3 linked regions of the Macaca fascicularis genome follow. The protein of the gene in region 1 interacts with the protein of each later gene in a biochemical or structural test. Links are inferred from orthologs where the notes say so. Each region holds a gene or a part of one and is shown on either strand. Other genes may lie near its edges.

Region 1 (7,493 bases):
TTACAGACAAAGACACTGAGGCATGGAACAATTAAGTGACTTGCCCCAGCTACACTACTAGTGACTGGCACATCTAAGATCCTGATATTAAAATCATAGACACATGTCCAAACTGAGCATGCTGGAGATTTCCAGAAAAAAACCATTTCCTTCCCGAAACTAGCAGACTCAACATACTCTAGCCCTGTCTTCCATTTTCCAGACTCTTCAACTCCACCCAAGATATTCTGGGCGGAACCTGATCTTGAATCTGGATTTGAACAACCCAATGACAGTCACATGTAGGGGCTGGAGGCAGGGACCAAGGCCACACTAACTCAATCCAAAAAGCCCAAGCTGCTCATGATGTTTCAAACTTGACCTCTGTGACACCGCCCTTCGACCTGGCCTCTAACAGTGGCCAAGATAAGGTGTGGGCCAAAGACCAGGCCTACATACATCCGGCCTTGCTGGCCTCCGAGCAGGAAGAGACCTCATAACACCCCAAGGCTGCCAACTGCTTCACTTTCAAGAGCTGCTCATAGCACTACACCCTGAGCCCTGTGTTTTGAAAGATTTGATGCACCATTAATCAAACACATGCAGCAGTACCCTCATCATGAATGGTGCCCACATGACTCCAGACCAAAGGAAAGTGACCCGAAAACTTTGGTAGCAGCAATAATCCCCTAATCAAAGGTAAAGGACTTTTTGAAATTCTGAGGATCCCTTCACAGACTGGAGACTTGGGTCTTCCACATGGGAGGCACCAGAGTCTCAAGTCCGCCCATACCAGTGGCCAAGACAACCCAACCCCCAAGGCCAAGGGCATTGCCCAGCTGAGACTGGCTCTGCCAACAGTGATGGGCAGCAGTAGCAGGGCTCAAAAAGCAGACCTGTTATAGGACTCAGCAAGTCAGGACAGCAGGGCAGGCGTTGGCAGAGGAAGGCCTGTTGTTAGGAATAAACAGCAGAGTTTAGGCCAGGCTCCTGGCTCACGCCTGTAATCCCAGCATTTTGGGAGGCTGAGGTGGGAGGATCCCTTGGGGTTGGGAGTTCAAGACCGGCCTGGACAACATAGTGAGATCCTGTCTCTACAAAAAATGTTTTAAAATATTAGCTGGCTGTGGTGGCACGCACTTGTAGTCCTAGCTACTCAGGAGGCTGAGGCAGGAGGATCACCTGAGTCCAGGGTTTAAGGTTATAGTGACCTATGATCATGCCACTGTACTCAAGCCTGGGTGACAGAGTGAAAACCTGTCTCTAAAAGAAAAGATTAAAAAATATATATATATGGGCTGGGCATGGTGGCTCACACTTATAATCCCAGCACTTTGGGAGGCCAAGGTGGGTGGATCACAAGGTCAGGACTTTGAGACCAGCCTGGCCAATATGATGAAACCCAGTCTGTACTAAAAATATAAAAATTAGCTGGGCATGGTGGCACACGCCTGTAGTCCCAGCTACTCAGGAGGTTGAGGCAGGAGAATCGCTTGAACCAGGAGGCGGAGGTTGCAGTGAGCTGAGACCGCACCACTGCACTCCAGCCTGGCAACAGAGCAAGACTCCGTCTCAAAAAAAAAAAATCTGATTTTACAGCCAGGCCGGGTGGTAGCACACCTGTAGTCCCAGCTACTCGGGAGGCTAAGATGGGAGGAGCATTGAGGCCAGGAGTTCAAGACCAGCCAAGGCAACATAGTGAGATCCTGTCTTTACACAAGAATTTTTTATAACTTAGCCAGGTGTGGTGGCTCACATTTGTAGTACTACCTACTCAGGAGGCTGAGGCAAGAGGATCACCTGAGCCCAGGAGTTGGAGATTACAGTGAGCTATGATCACCCCACTGTACTCCAGCCTGGGTGACAAAGTAAGATCCTGTCTCTAAAAGAAGGAAAAAAAAAAAGCCAAGTTTATAGCCAGGCATGGTGGCACACCTGTAGTCCCAGCTACTCAGGAGGCTGAGATGGGAGGATCCCTTGAGGCCGGAAGTTCAAGAACAGCCTAGGCAACATAGCAAGACCCTGTCTCTAAAAGGAAAAAAAAAAAAAAGCCAAGCTTATATGCTACACAAAGCTGGATGCAGACCCCCAACTCTGACCTTGCTCAGGCTACTGTCTCCTTTGACAACACGAAGACGGGTCTTGTTCTCCCTGAAGGTGCTGTGAGAATGAAATGAAATCAGGCCATGCTTTGGATCTTAGGCTGATGTAACAAAAGGTGGTTTGATTTCAGCCTCTGCTTTGAGTCCACAAGGGAAAGGTATGATCCCCAGACAACCTAAAAACATTGCAGACCTGAAAGGCCCTTAGGAATCCACCTAGTCCCACAGCCTCACTATACTGGTGAGGACCCAGGTCCAGGGGCCAAACCCTGTGCTCAAAGTCACACGGCCAGGACAGAGGACACTATGGTGCAAGAGTGTTGGCTCTCCCTGTGGTTCTGATCCAGTGATTACTGGGAGGCTGCCCACCCTCCCTCTTAGGCCTCTAATAACAACCCTTCCTGATCACACGAACTCTCCGGCCCACCAAAGGCTTTTGCTTACATGACCTCAAGCTTCCTGGGCTGTTTGGTGCTCCAGACTCTACGGACCTGGATACGAGGCTGGTCCATGGGGAGAAATGCAAACTATGAAATCGAACCAACCTGGGCCGCAATGCTTGCGTGGCCATTTACTGCATTAGGTCAGGCTAAGTTCATTTCTCTGAACCTCAGTATCCTCAAGAGTAAAATGAAACTAAATCATATCCACCTCCTGGGTGCCACCAGGACTTCGTGAAGGAACAGAGGTTACCTCCAAGGTTCATAGTTGACATTCAAAACCCTCTACTAAACACCATCAGATGGTGGGGTGCAGTGGCTCACGCCTTTAATCCTAGCGCTTTAGGAGGTAGAGGTGGGCAGATCGCTTGAGCTCAGGAATTTGAGACCAGCCTGGGCAACATGGCGAAACCTCATCTCTACAAAAAGGTAAAAAAATTAGCGAGTCTGTGGTCCCAGCTACTCTTGAGGCTGAGGTAGGAGGATCCCTTAAGTCCGGGAAGTCAAGGCTGCAGTGAGCTGTGATTCTGCCACTGCACTCCAGCTTGGGTGAGAGGGACGACACCCTGTCTCAAAAAAAATAAAAATAAACACCATCAGACAAAGACAGGCTTATGGCAAGCAACCTAACCTGTCTTCATGGATGATGGCAGAGGACTATATAATCTCCCAGCCCCTTTCTACTCTGACATTGGAGATGCCCCGGCCTCGAATTCAGGCCCATCTCCCCCAGGGCGTCCAGAGGGTGGCAGAGAGGCCCCCGGTGGCCCCTCTGCACCACCCAGCAGGCCCAGGCTGCCCTCTGCGCCCTCCCGGGCCATTCGTTACCTCCAGGTTGGCGCTGGCCTGGCTCAGGGACGCGGGAGAGCAGGCCTTATGCTCTACCAGGCAGATGTGGCAGATGCACTCGCCGTGCTCGGGGCAGAAAAACTCTCGCAGCCGGTTGTGCTGGGAACATTTGCGGCGCAACAGGTCGCGAACTGGAGACTGCAGCGGATGGTCCTGGAAGGCGGGGCTGTCGAAGTGCGGCTGCAGGTGCTCCTGACAGAAGGAGGCCATGCACACCAAGCATGTCTTCACGGCGGCCTCCTTCAGGCAGTGGTCGCAAGCCACCTGGGCACCCGGGCTGGGTGCAGAGGCGCGGGCGGGCGGCGTCCAGCCGTCGGCGGGTGGCTCCCGGGCCAGCTCGGCCTGCAGGAACTGCTCCACCACGTTGCACAGCACAGTGTTCTTGTGCAGCTGCGGTCGCGCCTGGTAAACGGCGCGGCACTGCGGGCACAAGTATGGGGCGCCCTGGACGGCCCACGTCTCGTTCAGGCACGAACCGCAGAAGTTGTGGCCGCACGGAGTGGTGACCGGCTCCTTGAAGGGCTCCAGGCAGATGGAGCACGACAGCTCCTCGGCCAGGGGGCACAGCTGTGCCATGATGCTCCCAGGGGTCGAGACGCGACTACTGCAACCGCGCTCCGAGGCTGCCGAGGAAACGAAACCTAGCCCGGGAAGGGCAGTCCCTGCAGCCGTCAGGAAGTCACGTGGGGCGCGGAGGGGCGGGCGGCGAGGACTGGTCGGGCCTCGCGAGGTACCCTCGAGAGCCTGCGGGCACCGAAGTGCCAGTTGCCCACGAAGTGGCGAAGGTCGGCCGCGCTGCGAGCCTCGAGAGCTCCCGCGGGCTGGGCGCGGGACGCTGGGCTCGGCCTTAGCCCCCGGGGTTTAGAGCATCCTCGCGACCACCCGGAGGCTTCTGGGGGCCACTCTGCGGATGAGGAAGCTGACGACTGGGTGCAGAACCCCGGACCCCCAGATTCAGAGCCCAGGTCCAGTCGCGCTTCCGCACAAACTTGCGCCCGGAGCAAGTCCCCTCCTTCCCAGCACTCATCTGAGACCAGAGGTGTTCCCATAACTATGGGGCAAGCTTTAAAAAAAGCAAAAAAAAAAAAAAAAAAAAAAAAGGAAACCTGTAGGAACTGTTAAACCACAATGCTTTTTTCTTCTTCTTTTTTTAATCCTTCCTCTTTCCTCGTCCCGGATTGGGACATGCGAACATACAGTCCCTGAAGACTGGAGCCCATAGTCACACACTCAGATTTAAACCTGGTGATTTATTTCCATTCTACTGATATATCATGCTTTTATAAAAATTCCCATTTCTACTTTCCTGGGATTTGGAGTTACCCAGTTTAACAAAGGCTTTCTCTCTCCTTCTCTCTCTCTCTCTCTCTTTCTCTCTCTCTCTCTCTCTCTCTCTCTCTCTCACACACACACACACACACACATAATATTGGAACTTAAATATTTTTCTCAAAGTTACTGATTTAAAGTTACTTCCTTTAATACTTTCTTTTGCTCTGTTTTCCCTCCTCTGGCTTGACTGCAGGACGTATGGGTGGACTGGAGAGTAGAAGTGTTCAAAAGAGGTGGGGATTGGCCGGTCCCAGTGGCTGATGACTGTAATCCCAGCACTTTGGGAGGCCGAGGCGGGTGGATCACGAGGTCAAGAGATCGAGACCATGCTGACGAAAACTGTGAAACCCTGTCCCTACTAAAAATACAAAAAAATTAGCCGGGCGTGGTGGCGAACGCCGGTAGTCCCAGCTATCGGGGAGGCTGAAGCAGGAGAATGCAATGAACCCGGGGGATGCAGCTTGCAGTGAGTGGAGATGGCGCCACTGCGCTCCAGCCTGGGCAACAGAGCGAGTCTCGTCTCAAAAAAAAAAAAAAAAAAAAATGCCGGGGGGGCTGGTGGCAAAGAGAAAGATGGTGTTTTGGAAGGAATTAGTTGGAGTTTGCTTTGGGGACAGAGTGGGTAGCAAAATGAGGAAAAGATAAATGTCTTAGTTTACCTTGTAATAGCTACTCTTTATGGGGTACCCACTGTGTGCTAGATAAGTCACATGGTTATCTCTTATTATCCTTATAAACCCTGCAAGACAGCCAGTCCATTTTAGGAATGAGAGTCTCAATTTATATAAAACAGGACGGGGATTGTAGCTCAGAACCGCTGACCTCCACATTGTCACTCACTCCTGATTCCCCTAATTCTTGTTCTGCAGGCTCCTTTTCCCCTAAAACCTTTTACCATTTACCTTTTTATTCTTTTTCCCTTCTTTCTTTCTTCTTTTCTTCTTTCTTTCTTTTAGACAAGGTTTTGCTCTGTTGGCTAGGGTGTGGCACTATCATAGCTCATTACAGCCTCCACCTCCTGGGATCAAGCAATCCTCCCACTTCAGCCTCCCAAGTAGCTGGGAATACAGGCACGTGCCACCACACACAGCTAATTTTTAAAACTTTTTTTTGTAGAGACAAGGTCTCTCTATGTTGCCTGGGCTCATTTTGAACTTCTGACCTCAAACAACCCTCTCACCTCAGCCTCCCGAAGTGCCAAAATTACAGGCGTGAGCCACCATGCGCCTGTCCCACGTCTTGTTTGCACAGAGAGGAGGAATACAGAAGAATGAGGGGATCGGAAATGAAAACTATGCATAGTATCTCATTTCATCAAAAAAAAAAAAGTCACAGATGAGGAAACCGAGGCTTAGAGAAACTAAATAACTTGTCTAAGAGTGGACATTGGCACGTAACCCATCTGCTTTCTGAAGCCAAGAGTTTCCTACCATAAAATGCTGCCTCGCAAGGGAGGAGTGGAGCAGTTTCCAGGAAACACTGTGAAATCCCCTCTGACCTATTTATCATGGGTGAGGTGGCGTGGTGATTCATGCCAGAATGTGGAATTCACTTTCCAGGCTGATTGGTTTAGAAGGCCTTGTTAGACCAATGAGGATGAATAGGAGGGCCATACTTTATCAAATTCCAAGCAGTAGATATTTACTAAGACCTACTGTGCAATAGGCATGCAACAGACTGAGTGCTAAATGAGTAAGATGTGAGTCAAACATGGGTCTGCCTTCTAAAACAGGAAGAAGACAACAACATAAAGCAGTAAAGAGGAATATGGGGAGAAGTCAGGTCCTGCTAGGGGTATGGATTCCTCATATGGACAGTAAGAATCCCAATAATACCTTCTTCATGGGACGTTCTGGAATAAAAATGAAACGCATGAGTCAGCCACAGTGGCTTACATTTGTAATTCCAGCACTTTGGGAGGATGAGGCAGGTGCATCACTTGAGGTCAGGAGTTCGAGATCAGCCTGGTCAACATGGTGAAAACTCCATCTCTACTAAAAATACAAAACTTAGCCAGGCATGGCAGCGGGCGCCTGTAATCCCAGCTACTTGGGAGGCTGAGGCAGGAAAGCAGGAGAATCACTTGAACCCAGGAGGCGGAGGTTCTAGTGAGCAGAGATTGTGGCACTGCACTCCAGCCTGAGCAACAGAGTCAGACTCCACCAAAAAACAGAAAGAGAGAGAGAGAGAGAAGGAAAAACATGTAAATCACAGCGATTTTATTTTATTTTATTTTATTTTGAGATGGAGTCTCGCTCTATCTTGCCCAGGCTGGAGTGCAGTGGTGCCATCTCGGCTCACTGCAACCTCCACCTCCTGGGTTCAAGTGATTCTCCTGCCTCAGCATCCCAAGTAGCTGGGATTACAGGCACACATCACCATGCCCAGCGAATTTTTATATTTTTAGTAGAGATGGGGTTTCATCATGTTGGCCAGGCTGATCTGGAACTCCTGACCTCAGGACCCACCCACCTTGGCCTCCCAAAGTGCTGGGATTACAGGCTTGAGCCCACCGTGCCTGGCCTTGCTTCTTTTGTGTTTTTTGTTTTGTTTTGTTTAAACACAAGTAAATTATGTAATATAGGCAGGATTGGGGCATCATGAATGTTAATCCTTAAATGGGCTTTGGTGGTCCAGGGTCTGTCCCCAGGGCTGGAGGGTGTGTTTATCATCAGTAACCACGTAGAACAATGTTGTCAAGTCAAATATAACCCAGCTAGTTAAAAGGGAGCTATATGGCCTAATCCAGCAGATGGCTGGCTATCTTAATTAGATTCTCACTCTGCATCTG
Region 2 (6,773 bases), on another chromosome or scaffold:
TCCCCTGGCAACTAACATTCTGCTTTCTGTTTGTATGAATTTGACAACCCTAGGTACCTCATATAAGTGGAGTCGTACAATATTTATCCTTTTCTGACTGGCTTATTTCACTTAGCAGGATGACCTCAGGGTTCATCCATGTTATAGCATATGTCAGAATGAATAATATTTCATTGTATGTATATAATTATATATTTTTTATTCATTCATCTGTCGATGGACATTTGGGTCATTTCCAGTTTGACTATTGTGAATAATGCTGCTGTAAATATGGTGCACAGAAGCCACTTTGAGACCCCGTTTTCAGTTCTTTGGGGGTGTATAATCTGAAGTAGAATTGCTGAATCACATGGTAATTCTATGTTTAAGTTTTTGAGGAATGATCATACCTTTTTTTGTAGCAGCTGTGTCATTTTTCATTTCTGCCAGCAATGCACACGGGTTCACATTTCTCACATCCTCTATCATTTCGTGTTTTCTGATTTTTTTTTTTAAATAATAGCCATCCTAAGGAGTATGAAGTGCTATTATTACTTTTTTTTTTTTTCTTTTTTTGAGACAGTGTCTCACTCTGTCACCCAGGCTGGAGTTCAGTGGTGTGACTTCAGCTCACTGCAATGGCCGCCTCCTGGGTTCAAGTGATTCTTCTGCCTCAGTCTCCCAGGTAGCTGGGATTAGAAGTGCCTGCCACCATGCCCAGCTAATTTTTGTATTTTTAGTAGAGATAGGGTTTCAACATATTGGCCAAGCTGGTCTTGAACTCCTGACCTCAAGTGATCCACCCACCTTAGCCTCCCAAAGTGCTTGGATTCCAGGCATGAGCCACTGTGCCCAGCCAAGTGCTCCTATTTCTGAAGCATTTTCATATTATATAATGACATTCATTTTTAATGTCTTTATGAAGTGGATGTAGAAAAGGTGAATTTTATAAAGCAGATAGAATACATGATTCTAAGATTCTGTGCAAAGTAATGAACAATTAAATTTCCTTATATTTGGGAAATGGTTTATCATTTACAAGGGACTTTCACCCCAAATAAATATTTCATCATTGTTCCTCACAGTGAAACCACAAAGAAAGGCAGATATGTCATTTATTAGCCTTACTTAAGGGGGAAAAGAAACTGAGACTCAGAAATATTAAGAAACTTCTATTGCAAGCAGTCTCAGCTCATTTTTAGACGAATGAAGGATAATATAATGAAGAAATAAAAGGTAACATTTTCAAGACCTCACACCACTAGAAAGTAGCAGAGTGCATGTTCTGATCCCATATCTAATGTTTTTTCTCCCACACTACAGTGGCCTCGGAACAGGGGAACGTCTGGAGGGATGGGTTTTGGTGGTAGCTTCTCAATGTAAACTTACTGTGAATGAGAAAGATCTGTATATGTTTTCACTTCTAGTTAATCTCCCGAGTGAAGCCTTTTCTTGACAGGAGGAGGGTGTTTGCTTTTACTACATTACTGCTGCCCCCTGGGGTTTGGAAGAGAAAAAACGTCTCTTCTACCCCTTCTCCACACAAAAAACACAACTCACACACACACGAGCACACGTGCTCACCTCACATTCACACACCACACGTGCACATGTGCCTCAAACACAGACATGCGCGTCTTCCACATGTACCCCCAGCACACACACACACACCCCCCACATAAACATCACACGCACGCACGCCACACACACACTCCACACGTGCTCACAAACACACCCTACTCCTTCCTTCCTCCCTGCTTCCAGGAGGGTGTGACCTGTCAAATTTCTAGAGGGAGGCCAGTTCCCTCCAGGCCACACTGCTTTGTCGATGTTGACTTCTGATACACTTTGGCCTTATGGAGTGGGATGAAGAAAACTAGGAAAATTTCCGGCTTAAACAAAGTCAGGCCTTTAGACTGTGGTTTCATTTTCTGTTGGTTTGTTTGAAGCATTGTGAATCTGTCAATAGCCAGGTACACCCATATCACAATATGGGCAAAATTGAATGCTTTCTGGAAAATCTTCTCTGATTTGCCCTAATCTGTCTCTCTCCATTGACCACAGTGGTGAATGTTGACTCAGGACCAGGAGATAGTGGACAGCCCCACCTAAAAGTTTTGGGGTTTGGGGGCTACTTTGAGTCCCAGAAGAGAGCCTGGGTCTCACTATCATCCTAGGCCATGGAATGACATGCTCTGCCGTGCAGGCAGAATGTCAGGATTCTTTCATCAACTGACACAGTCAGTGAGCACCTGTAGTCCCAGCTACTAAGGAGGCTGAGGCGGGAGGATCGCTGGAGCCCAGGTGTTCGAGGTTGCAGTGAGCTGTGGTCGGGCCACTGCATTCCAGCCTGGGCAACAGAGCAACACTCCATCTCTTAAAAAAAAAAAAAAAATTTCCCGTCATTGTCAAACCACTCACCTTCAAGATTTTTACACGTCAAACCACCCATCTTCAAGATTTTTACACATCAGATTAGGCCAAGTAATTTGATAGCACTTGGATAGCAAGGCTGGAAAAGCAAAGAGGAGGAAGGGTGGTAGGAACTCAGTTACATTAACTCCAGTGTTCACTACTTTGTTTCATTTTGGCTTTTTCTCCCCTAGCTCCTTCTTCACATCGTAGAAACATGGCGTATAGGGCTAGAAGCAAAAGCCGAGATCGGTTCTTTCAGGGCAGCCAAGAATTTCTTGCGTCTGCTTCAGCGTCTGCTGAGAGGTCCTGCACGCCTAGTCCAGATCCGAGCAGCCACAGGGCTTCCCTGGAGGACACGCCTGTGGATGATCTCACCCACAAGTTCACGTATCTGGGGAGTCAGGATCGCGCTCGGCCTCCCTCAGGCTCGTCCAAGGCTACCGATCTCGGAGGAACAAGTCAGGCCGGAGCAAGCCGGAGGTTTTTAGAGAACGGCAGTCAAGAGGACCTCTTGCATGGAAATCCAGGCAACACTTACCTTGCTTCCAATTCAACACCAGCCCCCAAGTGGAAGAGCCCCACATCCTGGACGAACGACCAAGGCGCCAGGAGAAAGGCCGTGTTTCCTCCCACGCTGCCTGCCGCCCTCTCTTCTCTTGGCTCTCTGCAAACACCTGAAGCTGTGACCACCAGAAAGGGCGCAGGCTTGCTTTCCTCAGACTACAGGAACATCAATGGCAAAAGTGGAACTCAGGACGTCCAGCCTGGCCCTCTTTTTAATAATAATGCTGATGGAGTGGCCACAGATACAACTTCTACCAGATCCTTAAATTACAAAAGCACAAGCAGCAGTCAGAGAGAAATATCAACACCTAGGACTCAGGATGCTGGACCTGCTTCCCGAGATGTTCAGGCCACTGGCAGAATCACAGATGATGCTGGCCCAAGAGTGGCACTTGTTAATGGTAAATACAAAGGGAAGAAACTTGGGGCTAGTGCATTTGTTCACGATACACCAAATGGCTCTAGTCAAGTGGCAGATAAAACTACTGACGTAGAAAAAACTGGTGCCACTGGTTTTGGCTTCACAATGGCAGTCATGGTGGAGAAAGATAAGTTACGTTCTGGAAGTCAGAGTCTGAGGAGCCTGGTCCCCACCACACCTGGGGAATCCACTGCCTCTGCACAAGTCAGCACTCTGCCTCAGTCACCTGCTGCGCTTTCCTCAAGCAACAGAGCTGCAGTATGGAGGGCCCAGGGGCAGAACTGCACCCAGGTTCCTGTTTCCCCTGCCAGTGAGCTCACAAGGAAGACAACAGGCTCTGCTCAGTGTAAGTCACTGAAGGACAAACGGACCCCTGTGTCTCGAGTCTGCAGCAGAGTGGCTATGGCTGCTGGGTTTTCCTTCCATGTTCCCCAGTTCTTAAAGGGTAAAGAGTTAGAGGGTTTTGGTTAAGGGGTGGTCTGGTGAGGAGGTTGACTAGTGAAGACAGGGAACGACCAACCAGTAGAACCACAGGGAATAAGCTGCCACATTTACTGACAATAGGAATATTTCAACTATGATTTAAGAAATAAACACAACTTTCACAGGACTCTGAGGTCCACATTTTTGTTTTATGGAGGGGCTGTCTAGACACTCATGAGAAACACATAAATCATAAGAATTTTCTTGAACATGGCCTGCATTTCAGATATTCTTTCCCATTGTGAGACCAAGTGCCTTGATTTTTGGTTTAAACATTACAATCAGCATACATGCATCCTTTTTTGTTTCATAGATTCTTTATCTGATGTCACAAGTACCACATCTTCTAGGGTGGATGATCATGGCTCAAAGGAAATTTGTCTTGACCATCTGTATAAGGGTTGTCCGTTTAATGGTGAGTAACCTAAGGACTTTTCTGTAAGCTTCTACCTTTTGGCCATTGTAAATAACGCTGCTATGAACATGGGTGTGCAAATGTCTTCTCAAAACCTGGCTTTCAATTCTTTTAGATATATACACAGAAGTGGAGTTGGGGGATCATACAGTACTTCTTTTAATTTTTTTTTTTTTTGCGGAACTTTTTTTTTTTTTTTTTTTGAGACAGAGTCTCGCTCTGTCGCCCAGGCTGGAGTGCAGTGGCCGGATCTCAGCTCACTGCAAGCTCCGCCTCCCGGGTTCATGCCATTCTCCTGCCTCAGCCTCCCGAGTAGCTGGGACGACAGGCGCCCGCCACCTCAACCGGCTAGTGTTTTGTATTTTTTTGGTAGAGACGAGGTTTCACCGTGTTAGCTAGGCTGGTCTCGATCTCCTGACCTCGTGATCCACCCGTCTCGGCCTCCCAAAGTGCTGGGATTACAGGCTTGAGCCACCGTGCCCGGCCGCGGAACTATTTTTCATAGTGGCTGTACCATTTTTCTTTCCCACCAGCAATGCACAAGGGTTCACATTTCTCCACATCCTCACCAACACTTGTTCTTTTTGTGTGTATTTGTTTGCCTTTTTTGTTTGTTTGTTTGTTTTGAGACGAAGTCTCGTTCTGTCACCCAGGATGGAGTGCAGCGGTGCAATCTCAGCTCACTGCAACCTCTGCCCCCTGGGTTCAAGTGATTCTCATGCCTCAGCCTCCCAAGTAGCCGGGATTACAGGCGTGTGCCACCACGTCCGGCTAACTTTTGTATTTTTGGTAGAGACGGGGTTTTGGCACATTGGCCAGACTGGTCTTGAACTCCTGACCTCAAGTGATCCACCCGCCTCGGCCTTCTAAAGTGCTGAGATTACAGGCATGAACCACTGCGCCCAGTAACTGTTTGTCTTTGATAGCAGCCATTCTAACAAGTGTGAGTTGTGGACTATAATGAGTGGTTATGTACTTTTCAATCAGCCAAGTCTCAAGTGGGGCCACTCTATGGGTGTCCCTGCAGTGTCTAAACTTGTCTTTTTTGTTAGTTTGTTTTAGAGCTGTCACACATCTTTATTTTGAGTATTTCAAAACAATTTAAACATAATATAATGCAAATTTTGAAAAACAGAACTATTTTCTATCTTCCTGTATTGTAGCTTATAACATCTATTCATTCTTTAGCCGGCATTTCTGCAATGGGTATCTTTTTTATGCCTAGCCCTGTGCCAAATATGCAAAGGGGATGTAAGCTAAACCATAGTGCAGCCTTCTCTTTAGTGACTTTGTAATTAAGGTAGGGCATGAAAATATCCATAAAATGCTAGGCACGGTGGCTTACGCCTGTAATCCCAGAACTTTGGGAGGCTGAGGCAGATAGATCACTTGAGGCCAGGAGTTCAAGACCAGTCTGGCCATCATGGTGAACACCCATCTCTACTAAAAATACAAAAGTTAGCCGGGCGTGGCAGCACAGGCCTGTAATCCCAGCTACTCGGGAGGCTGAGGCAGGGGAATCTCTTGAACCCGGGAGGTGGAGGTTGCAGTGAGCCAAGATCGCGCCACTGCACTCCAGCCTGGGCGACAGAGTGAGTGAGACTCTGCCTCAAAACAAAAACAAAAACAAACAAACAAAAAATCCGCAAATGAGAAAACTGTGTGCAGTAAGTAAAAACGTATACAAAATTAACCCCCAACTGAGTATTGGGTACTGGCTAAAGGAATGCAGAAAATACAAGTCAGATGGAGATGGAGTGAGATTCGTTAGGAGAATCTTTCTGGAAGAGATGAACTGTAGGCCAGGGCTTCAAGGAAATACAGGCTGTTGCCTCTGCTGGAGAGCATTTTGGCTTAATACACTTGGGGGGGTGCAGAAAGGGTAACTAAATTTCTGATTACCTCATATTTCTTTTTTTTTTTTTTTTTTTGAGACAGAGTCTCGCTCTGACACCCAGGCTGGAGTGCAGTAGCCAGATTTCAGCTCACCGCAAGCTCTGCCTCCCGGGTTCATGCCATTCTTCTTCCTCAGCCTCCCGAGTAGCTGGGACTATAGGCACCCGCCACCACGCCCGGCTAGTTTTTTGTATTTTTTAGTAGAGACGGGGTTTCACCGTGTTAGCCAGGATGGTCTCGATCGCCTGACCTCGTGATCCGCCTGTCTCGGCCTCCCAAAGTGCTAGGATTACAGGCTTGAGCCACTGCGCCCGGCCACCTCATATTTCTATCTGGATAGAGTGACTTTGGGGGTAGTGGAGAATTTTTGTTTTGTTTTGTGTTTTTTTTTTTTTTTTGAGACAGAATTTCACTCTGTCACCCAGGCTGCGGTGCAGTGGAGTGATCTCGGCTCACTGCAACCTCCACCTCCCAGGTTCAAGTGATTCTCCTGCCTCAGTCTCCCAAGTAGCTGGGATTACAGGCACTCACTAGCATGCTTGGCTAATTTTTGTATTTTTAGTAGAGACAGGATTTCATCATGTTGGCTAGGCTGGTCTT
Region 3 (6,773 bases), on another chromosome or scaffold:
CTTCCATTTCGAGTACAGTGTCTGAACTCCAGTTGCAATATCCTCCACCACAAAACTTTCAATTTTTATAACTGGAATCTCAAATGTCTTGTACTTCATATGGATTCCCCAGTCATGGCTGCAGTTCTGTCGGGCACAGAATATCTTTTCTCTTTTATCAAAATTTGAAAACTTCTTTGGCTTGGGATGTGGTCTCCTCACAAAGCATTCCTTAAAAGCATCTCCAAGCACAGTGTAATGGCATTCCTACAGATAAAGGGATGGAATAACACACAAAAGAGAACATTAGAACCAGTACATAATTGTGATTAAAAAAAAAAAAAAGAGAGAACTCCACAATAATCTGAGATGAAGAATAGGTGGGTCTCACTTATTTTACAATTGGAGGAAAACAAATATGGATTCACCTAAAGTCCAGAGGACGATCCATGCACCTGACTCCCTTCTACAGGCAGGGTAGTGTTGCAAGTGAGACACTGGGCACCTCATAGAGAGGAAGATTAAGAAAGACCCAGGTAACCCAGCTTCTGAAGGTAGATACTTATTATTCAAAAACACAAGCGATGTTTGTTGAAAATCTGTGAAGCTGAAGTTCACCAGTGGCCCTAGCAGGCACAATCCAAAGGATACAGGGAAAATGACCAAGGTCAAGGTGCAATTGAAGAAGGTCAGGGACTAACGTGTTCACAGGCCCCACCTAGAGTCAACTTTAGAGTAAACGGCTCAAACAAATGCAGATCCAACATACTAGTCCCTCAGGAAAACATAGGGTCTAAAAGGGCCATTTTTAGTAGAATAATCACCCAAATTGGAGCTAAAAGGACCTTTTACGCTAAAGCAGCAGACTTAGAAAGGTAAGGGAACTTAGCAATATGACTCCTAATATGCTTTTTGCCCAAACAGCTGAGCTGATGAGAGATTTCTGCTTTCTGAAGATGAATGGAACACCCTGAAGTAATAACTCCTCATCTGAGCCAGCCCAGCCCCTCCACCGTAACCCCACATGCAAGACAGTTATACCCCACATTTCTCTTTGGAGATTTTTCTAACCCTTTTTCTGAAAGTTTTAAGAACAAAATACAAGGCTGCAATAGAAAGCCAACCTTCAGATGTCACATTTTACAAATAAGGATATATTTTCTTCATTATAGAAGTGATCCATAGCCCAAAAGGAATGTTTGGAAAACATAAAGTACTAGGGAAAGAGAAAAAGATCATGGAATCTCACCACCAAAATATTAATACATTTTGGTATAGTTCCCCTAGCCTTTGTTTTTCTGTAGAAAGGTAAGTTTTTTGACTTTTTCTTGACAGTGACAATGGTATTTGCTGCTGTTTCACACAGCTATAAAGTAGCATCTTTATAATTTTGTGTTCTGGTTACTTTTTTCCACATTAGTTTGTAAGCAGTTTTTCATTATACTACATAAACTTCATAATCTTTAAAATAAACTTTACTTTGGAACAATTTTAGATTTACAGAAAAATTGCAAAGATATCCCAGAAAATTTCTGCATACCCTTTGCCCAGTTTCCCCAAATGCTAACATTTCATATACCACAGTACATTTGTCAAAACCAAGATATTAACCTCAGTACATTACTATTATCTAAACTACAGATTTTACCACTCTTTCTCTAGTCATATCCTTTATCTGTTCCAGGAGCTAATCCAGGACACTTCATTGCATGTAGCATGACTTTTTTTTTTTTTTTTTTTTTTTTTTTTTTTTGAGACAGAGTCTTGCTCTGTCACCCAGACTAGAGTGCAGTGGTGCGACATCAGCTCACTGCAACCTCCGCCTCCTGGGTTCAAGTGATTCTCCTGCCTCAGCCTCCTGAGTAGCTGGGATTACAGGTGCCCACCACCATGCCCAGCTTATTTTTGTATTTTTAGTAGAGAGAGGGTTTTGCCATGTTGGCCAGGCTGGTCTCGAACTCCTGACCTCAGGTGATCCACCTGCCTCAAAGTACTGGGATTACAGGCATGAGCCACCATGCTCGGCCTGACCACTTTAATGGCTTTTTTTTAAATGGCTGTGTAATATTAAGTGGCTGTACAGCAATGTTTTAAAACTATTTTTTTCTTTTTTTGAGCCAGGGTCTTACTCTGTCATCCAGACTAGAGTGCAGTGGTGCAATCATGGCTTACTGCAGCCTTGATCTCTCAAGTTCAAACAATCAGCCCACCTAGCCTCCTGAGTAGCTGGAACTACAGGCTCTTGCTACCATGCCCAGCTTTTTTTTTTTTTTTTTAATTTTTTTTTTGTGACGGAGTCTCTCTGTCACCTGGGCTGGAGTGGAATGGCGTGATTTCGGCTCACTGCAACCTCTGCCTCCTGGGTTCAAGCAATTCTCCTGCCTCAGCCTCCCGAGTAGCTAAGATTACAGCCGCCTGCCCCTACGCCCAGCTAATTTTTGTATTTTTAGTAGAGACAGGGTTTCATCATGTTGGCCGGGCTGGTCTCGAACTCCTGACCTTGTGATTTACCCACCTCGGCCTCCCAAAGTGTTTGGATTACAGGTGTGAGCCACTATGCCTGGCCAAAAACTTTATTATTGAACATTTAGTATTTCTTTTTCACTTCTTAGCTTTTTTTCAAATACACAGATCATGGCCACAATAGCAATGGAAATAATAGAGTTTTACTATAAATATTTCACCAACAGTAAGCTTTAGCTAGTGCTAAAACATGACCAGGCACTTTGTAAAAAGGCAGCTTACCTCTATCACTCTTATGTCAGCTGTGTAACATACCAAGGCTTTGCACTTTCCGCAGAGCAGTTTTTTATTTTCCTTATCAGGTACAGGTTTTGGTTTTTCTTGACTATCTCTGATTAATTTTTCATGAGTCTGTATATGCAGAATCTAATGCAAAAATAAAGACCTCAAATATAATTTGAGTATAACACATATAGAGAGAAACAGGCACAGATAGATATATACATATACATGCACATATACAATCATTCATATACAACTTCCATGAACATATGGTACCTGACTTGGTAAAATCACAGATTTTATTGGTTCTCCTAACTTAATATTAGTCAATGTTTAATTGTGGCCTCCAACCAGTCTTTGAATTTCTTCATCAAAAATGCTCATAAAAGCACTAAAGACGTCCATAGAATAGTCATATGAACCATGCTTTCTACTTTAGTGTTTTGCAAAACTTGAAAAAAAGCAAAACCTGTACCAGATATACAATATGCACTGTTTCAGGCATAATTATATCCATTTGCAGGCACAAACCCAATGAGTGATACAGCAGGCAGAAGAGCCCCTGATACGGTTTGGCTGTATCCTTACCCAAATCTCAACTTGAATTGTTTTCATCTTCCAGAATTCCCGTGTGTTATGGGACAGACCCAGGGAGAGGTAATTGAATCATGGGGGCCAGTCTTTCCTGTGCTATTCTTATGATAGTGAATAAGTCTCACGAGATCTGATGGGTTTATCAGGGGTTTCCACTTTTGCTTCTTCCTCATTTTTCTCCTGCTGCTGCCATGTAAGAAGTGCCTTCTGCCTCCCACCATGATTCTGAGGCCTCCCCAGCCATGTGGAACTGTAAGTCCAATTAAACCTCTTTGTTTTCCCAATCTCAGGTATGTCTTTGTCGGTGGCATAAAAACAGACTAATACAGCCCTCAACATCTAAAACCTTTTTTCTCTCTCCCCTTCAGCCACAGGGAATATTGTTGCATATGTGTAGTATGATTATATTCTAATTCAAAATCTAGTCCTTGGCTAAGAACATGGTCCAACTTAGAACCATGGACATGATAGTATAAAACTCTTCATACCAATAAATAGATCTCAAACTGAATGAAAAAAAAATCATAGATGCCAACACTAAGATGAGAAAGATTTTAAAGCCCCTAATAAAGATGCTTCGATGGACAATTATAAATACTTTTGAAACATAAAGAGAAAACATAAAGGTTCAACAATGAAATGGAAGACAAAGTTTAGAACTGAAAGATACAACCAAAATAAAAAGGTCAATGGATGGGCTTTCCGTGGCAGAATGGAAGGGACAAAGAAAAGAGTCAGTGATCTGAAAGAACAACAGAAATTACCCAATCTAAACAACAACAAAATACACTGGGAGGGGGGGAAGCAAAGTCTCAAGGACCTGTAGGACTATAAAAAACGATGTCATGGCACTGGAGTTCTGCAAGGAGAGAAGAGCAGGGCTTAAAAAGTATTCAAAGAAATAACAGCCAAATATATCCCAAATTTAACAAGCTACATCAACCAAGATTCAAGAAGCTGAACAAGCTCCAAACAGGATAAACACCTTCAAAAAACACTCTGAGACACGTTATAATTAAACTTATGAAAACTGAAGAAAAAAATCTTGAAAGCAGAGGAAAAAAAAAAAAAAAGACATCTTACCCATAGGGGGAAATCAGTCTGAATAACAGGAGATTTGTCATTAGAAACAATGGAGGCTACCTGGAAGTGGCACAATATTTTTTAAATGCTGAAAGAAAAGAACAGTCCATCCCAGAACCCTAGACTCAGCAAGATGCCACCTTCAAAAATAAGGAAGAAATGAAGACATTCTCAGATGAAGGAACACTGAGAATCTGTCATCAGCAGATTTACCCTAAAATATTGGCTAAAGGAAGTTTTCTAAACAGAGGAAATGATAAAAGGAACCCTGAAACATCATGAAGGAAGAAAGAACACAGATTTCCTCCATGTCTTCTATGGAAGATTCTGTCCGTCCCACTGGTTTATGGTGGCGCCTCTCTATATCAGACTATGCTTTCAAGTGTCCCAGGTGGATCCAGACAGCCTAGATGCAAATAGCGTCCCTGTCACTTAGCAGCTACGTCATTTTGGGCAAGCGCCTCGTTTCTTTACATATAAAATGGGATGATAGCATCTGCTTCATGGACTGTCAGGAGATAACATGAGCTTATGACTGCTCAGGCCTGCCCAGCACAGGGTAAATGCCCATCAGCGTTGCCTCCCTCTGTTAGGCTAGTCTTATGCTAAGAGCCATGAAAATGTTGTAATGGGGTGGCTTGTAGTTTTGTATTGATAAGGCAATCTCCATTCATTAGGGATTGCCTTATCAATACAAAACAACTAGCTACCCCCATTTTAATTTTTCTAGAAATATAGCTATTTTCATCTATTTATTATTTTATATAAACTCTAGAACCATTTTATCAAATTAAAAGTATATTTATGCTTTCAATATGGTTTGTGATACATGAATAAGCGAATTTGGGATGAATGCACATGTTTAAAATATTCAGTCATTCAAGAGCATGGCATTTCTTTTATCTTAATATCTCCCAGTAAAATTTATTTGTCCTCATTTCTGCTTCAAACTTTTCTGATTAGGCTGGTAGATGTAATGGTTAAACAGATGGGCTCTACCAACTCTGCCATGAACTAGCTGTGTGATCTACTGGCACTGAAGCTATTCAAGTCTCAGTTTCCTGCCTATAAAATGACATAGGAGGCACTACTATATGGATTGCTGTAAAGCCTATTGATGTAAGTAAAGCATTTGCAGGGACTAGTGGAGAGTCAGTGTTCTACATGCATGAACTGCAGTTATTGTCACTGTGAATGGAAATCTCCCTCCCCCTTATATCTTTTAGTTGGTTACTGATCATACATAGATAATCTGATTCCCATACCACTTCAAATTCAAATTTGCTTTATATAAAAAAAAATTTAGATTTTTTTTTTTTTTTTTTTTTGAGACAGAGTCTCACTTTGTCACCCAGGCTGGAGTACAGTGGCACAATCTCAGCTCACTGCAACCTCCGACTCCTGGGTTCAAGTGATTCTCCTGGGTTCAAGTGATTCTCCTGCCTCAGCCTCCCAAGTAGCTGGGATTACAGGCAGGTGCCACCACATCCAGCTAATTTTTGTATTTTTAGTAGAGATGGGGTTTCACCATGTTGGCTAGGCTGGTCTTGAACTCCTGACCTCGGGTTATCCACCCACCTCAGCCTCCCAAAGTGCTGGTATTACACGTGTAAGCCACCACACCCGGCTTCCTTTCCCCTACCCCCGCTTTTTGAGATAGATTCCTACTACGTTGCCCTGGCTGGACTTGAACTCTTGGGCTTAAATGATCCTCCCATGTAGCTGGGACTATAGGCGTGAGCCATCATGCCCAGCTAGACCTAGAATGTTTTGATTTAAAAAACCAAATATACTGGCTGGGCACAGTAGCTCATGCCTATAATCCCAGCCTGTAATCCCGACACTTTGGGAGGCCAAGGCTGACATATCACTTGAGTCTAGAGTTCAAGACCAGCCTGGGCTGTAGAGACCATCTCTACTAAAAATACAAAAATTAATGATGCGTGGTGGCACACACCTGTAGTCCTAGCTACTTTGGAGGCTGAGATTGCAGTGAGCCAAGATCACGCCACTGCACTCCAGCCTGGGAGACAGAGTGAGACCCTGTCTCAAAAAAATAAATAAGAAATAAATAATTTAAAAATTAAAAACCAAACGTGATTTCCCCTTCCCCACTTCTTGCCCCATCCCACCTGAAATTATCTTCATTATTTTTGTAAAAATAAAGGGTGTTCAGGCCTCCTGTTTTTAATCCAATTTTTCACTGTTGTAAAACTGCTACATTATATCCCATTATTTCCCTTTGGACAAATTTCTAGATTTGAAATACCTGGGTTATATGATACACATTTTCCTATGAGCAATTTTAATTTTCTTTTTTAATTAGTTTTTTCAGATATGGTTCTAATCACTACTTAAGCAGAATAGAGGTT

Evidence for each region.
Region 2: of the proteins of TRIM25 (region 1) and ZC3HAV1, one has a biochemical effect on the other in vitro, tested with the Homo sapiens proteins (2 studies listed by BioGRID). The link is inferred for Macaca fascicularis from reciprocal best matches to the Homo sapiens genes TRIM25 and ZC3HAV1.
Region 3: of the proteins of TRIM25 (region 1) and RIGI, one has a biochemical effect on the other in vitro, tested with the Homo sapiens proteins (5 studies listed by BioGRID, with this or other methods). The link is inferred for Macaca fascicularis from reciprocal best matches to the Homo sapiens genes TRIM25 and RIGI.

Annotation. Positions count from the first base shown.
Region 1 is NC_088390.1:49,806,608-49,814,100, reverse strand, and holds the start of TRIM25 (E3 ubiquitin/ISG15 ligase TRIM25), read right to left. Parts: upstream 4,007-7,493; 5' UTR 3,947-4,006; coding exon 3,350-3,946; intron 2,140-3,349; exon of another isoform or gene 2,079-2,139; intron 1-2,078.
Region 2 is NC_088377.1:180,750,300-180,757,072, reverse strand, and holds part of ZC3HAV1 (zinc finger CCCH-type antiviral protein 1), read left to right. Parts: intron 1-2,585; coding exon 2,586-3,725; intron 3,726-4,175; coding exon 4,176-4,277; intron 4,278-6,773.
Region 3 is NC_088389.1:66,628,321-66,635,093, reverse strand, and holds part of RIGI (antiviral innate immune response receptor RIG-I), read right to left. Parts: intron 2,869-6,773; coding exon 2,725-2,868; intron 247-2,724; coding exon 1-246.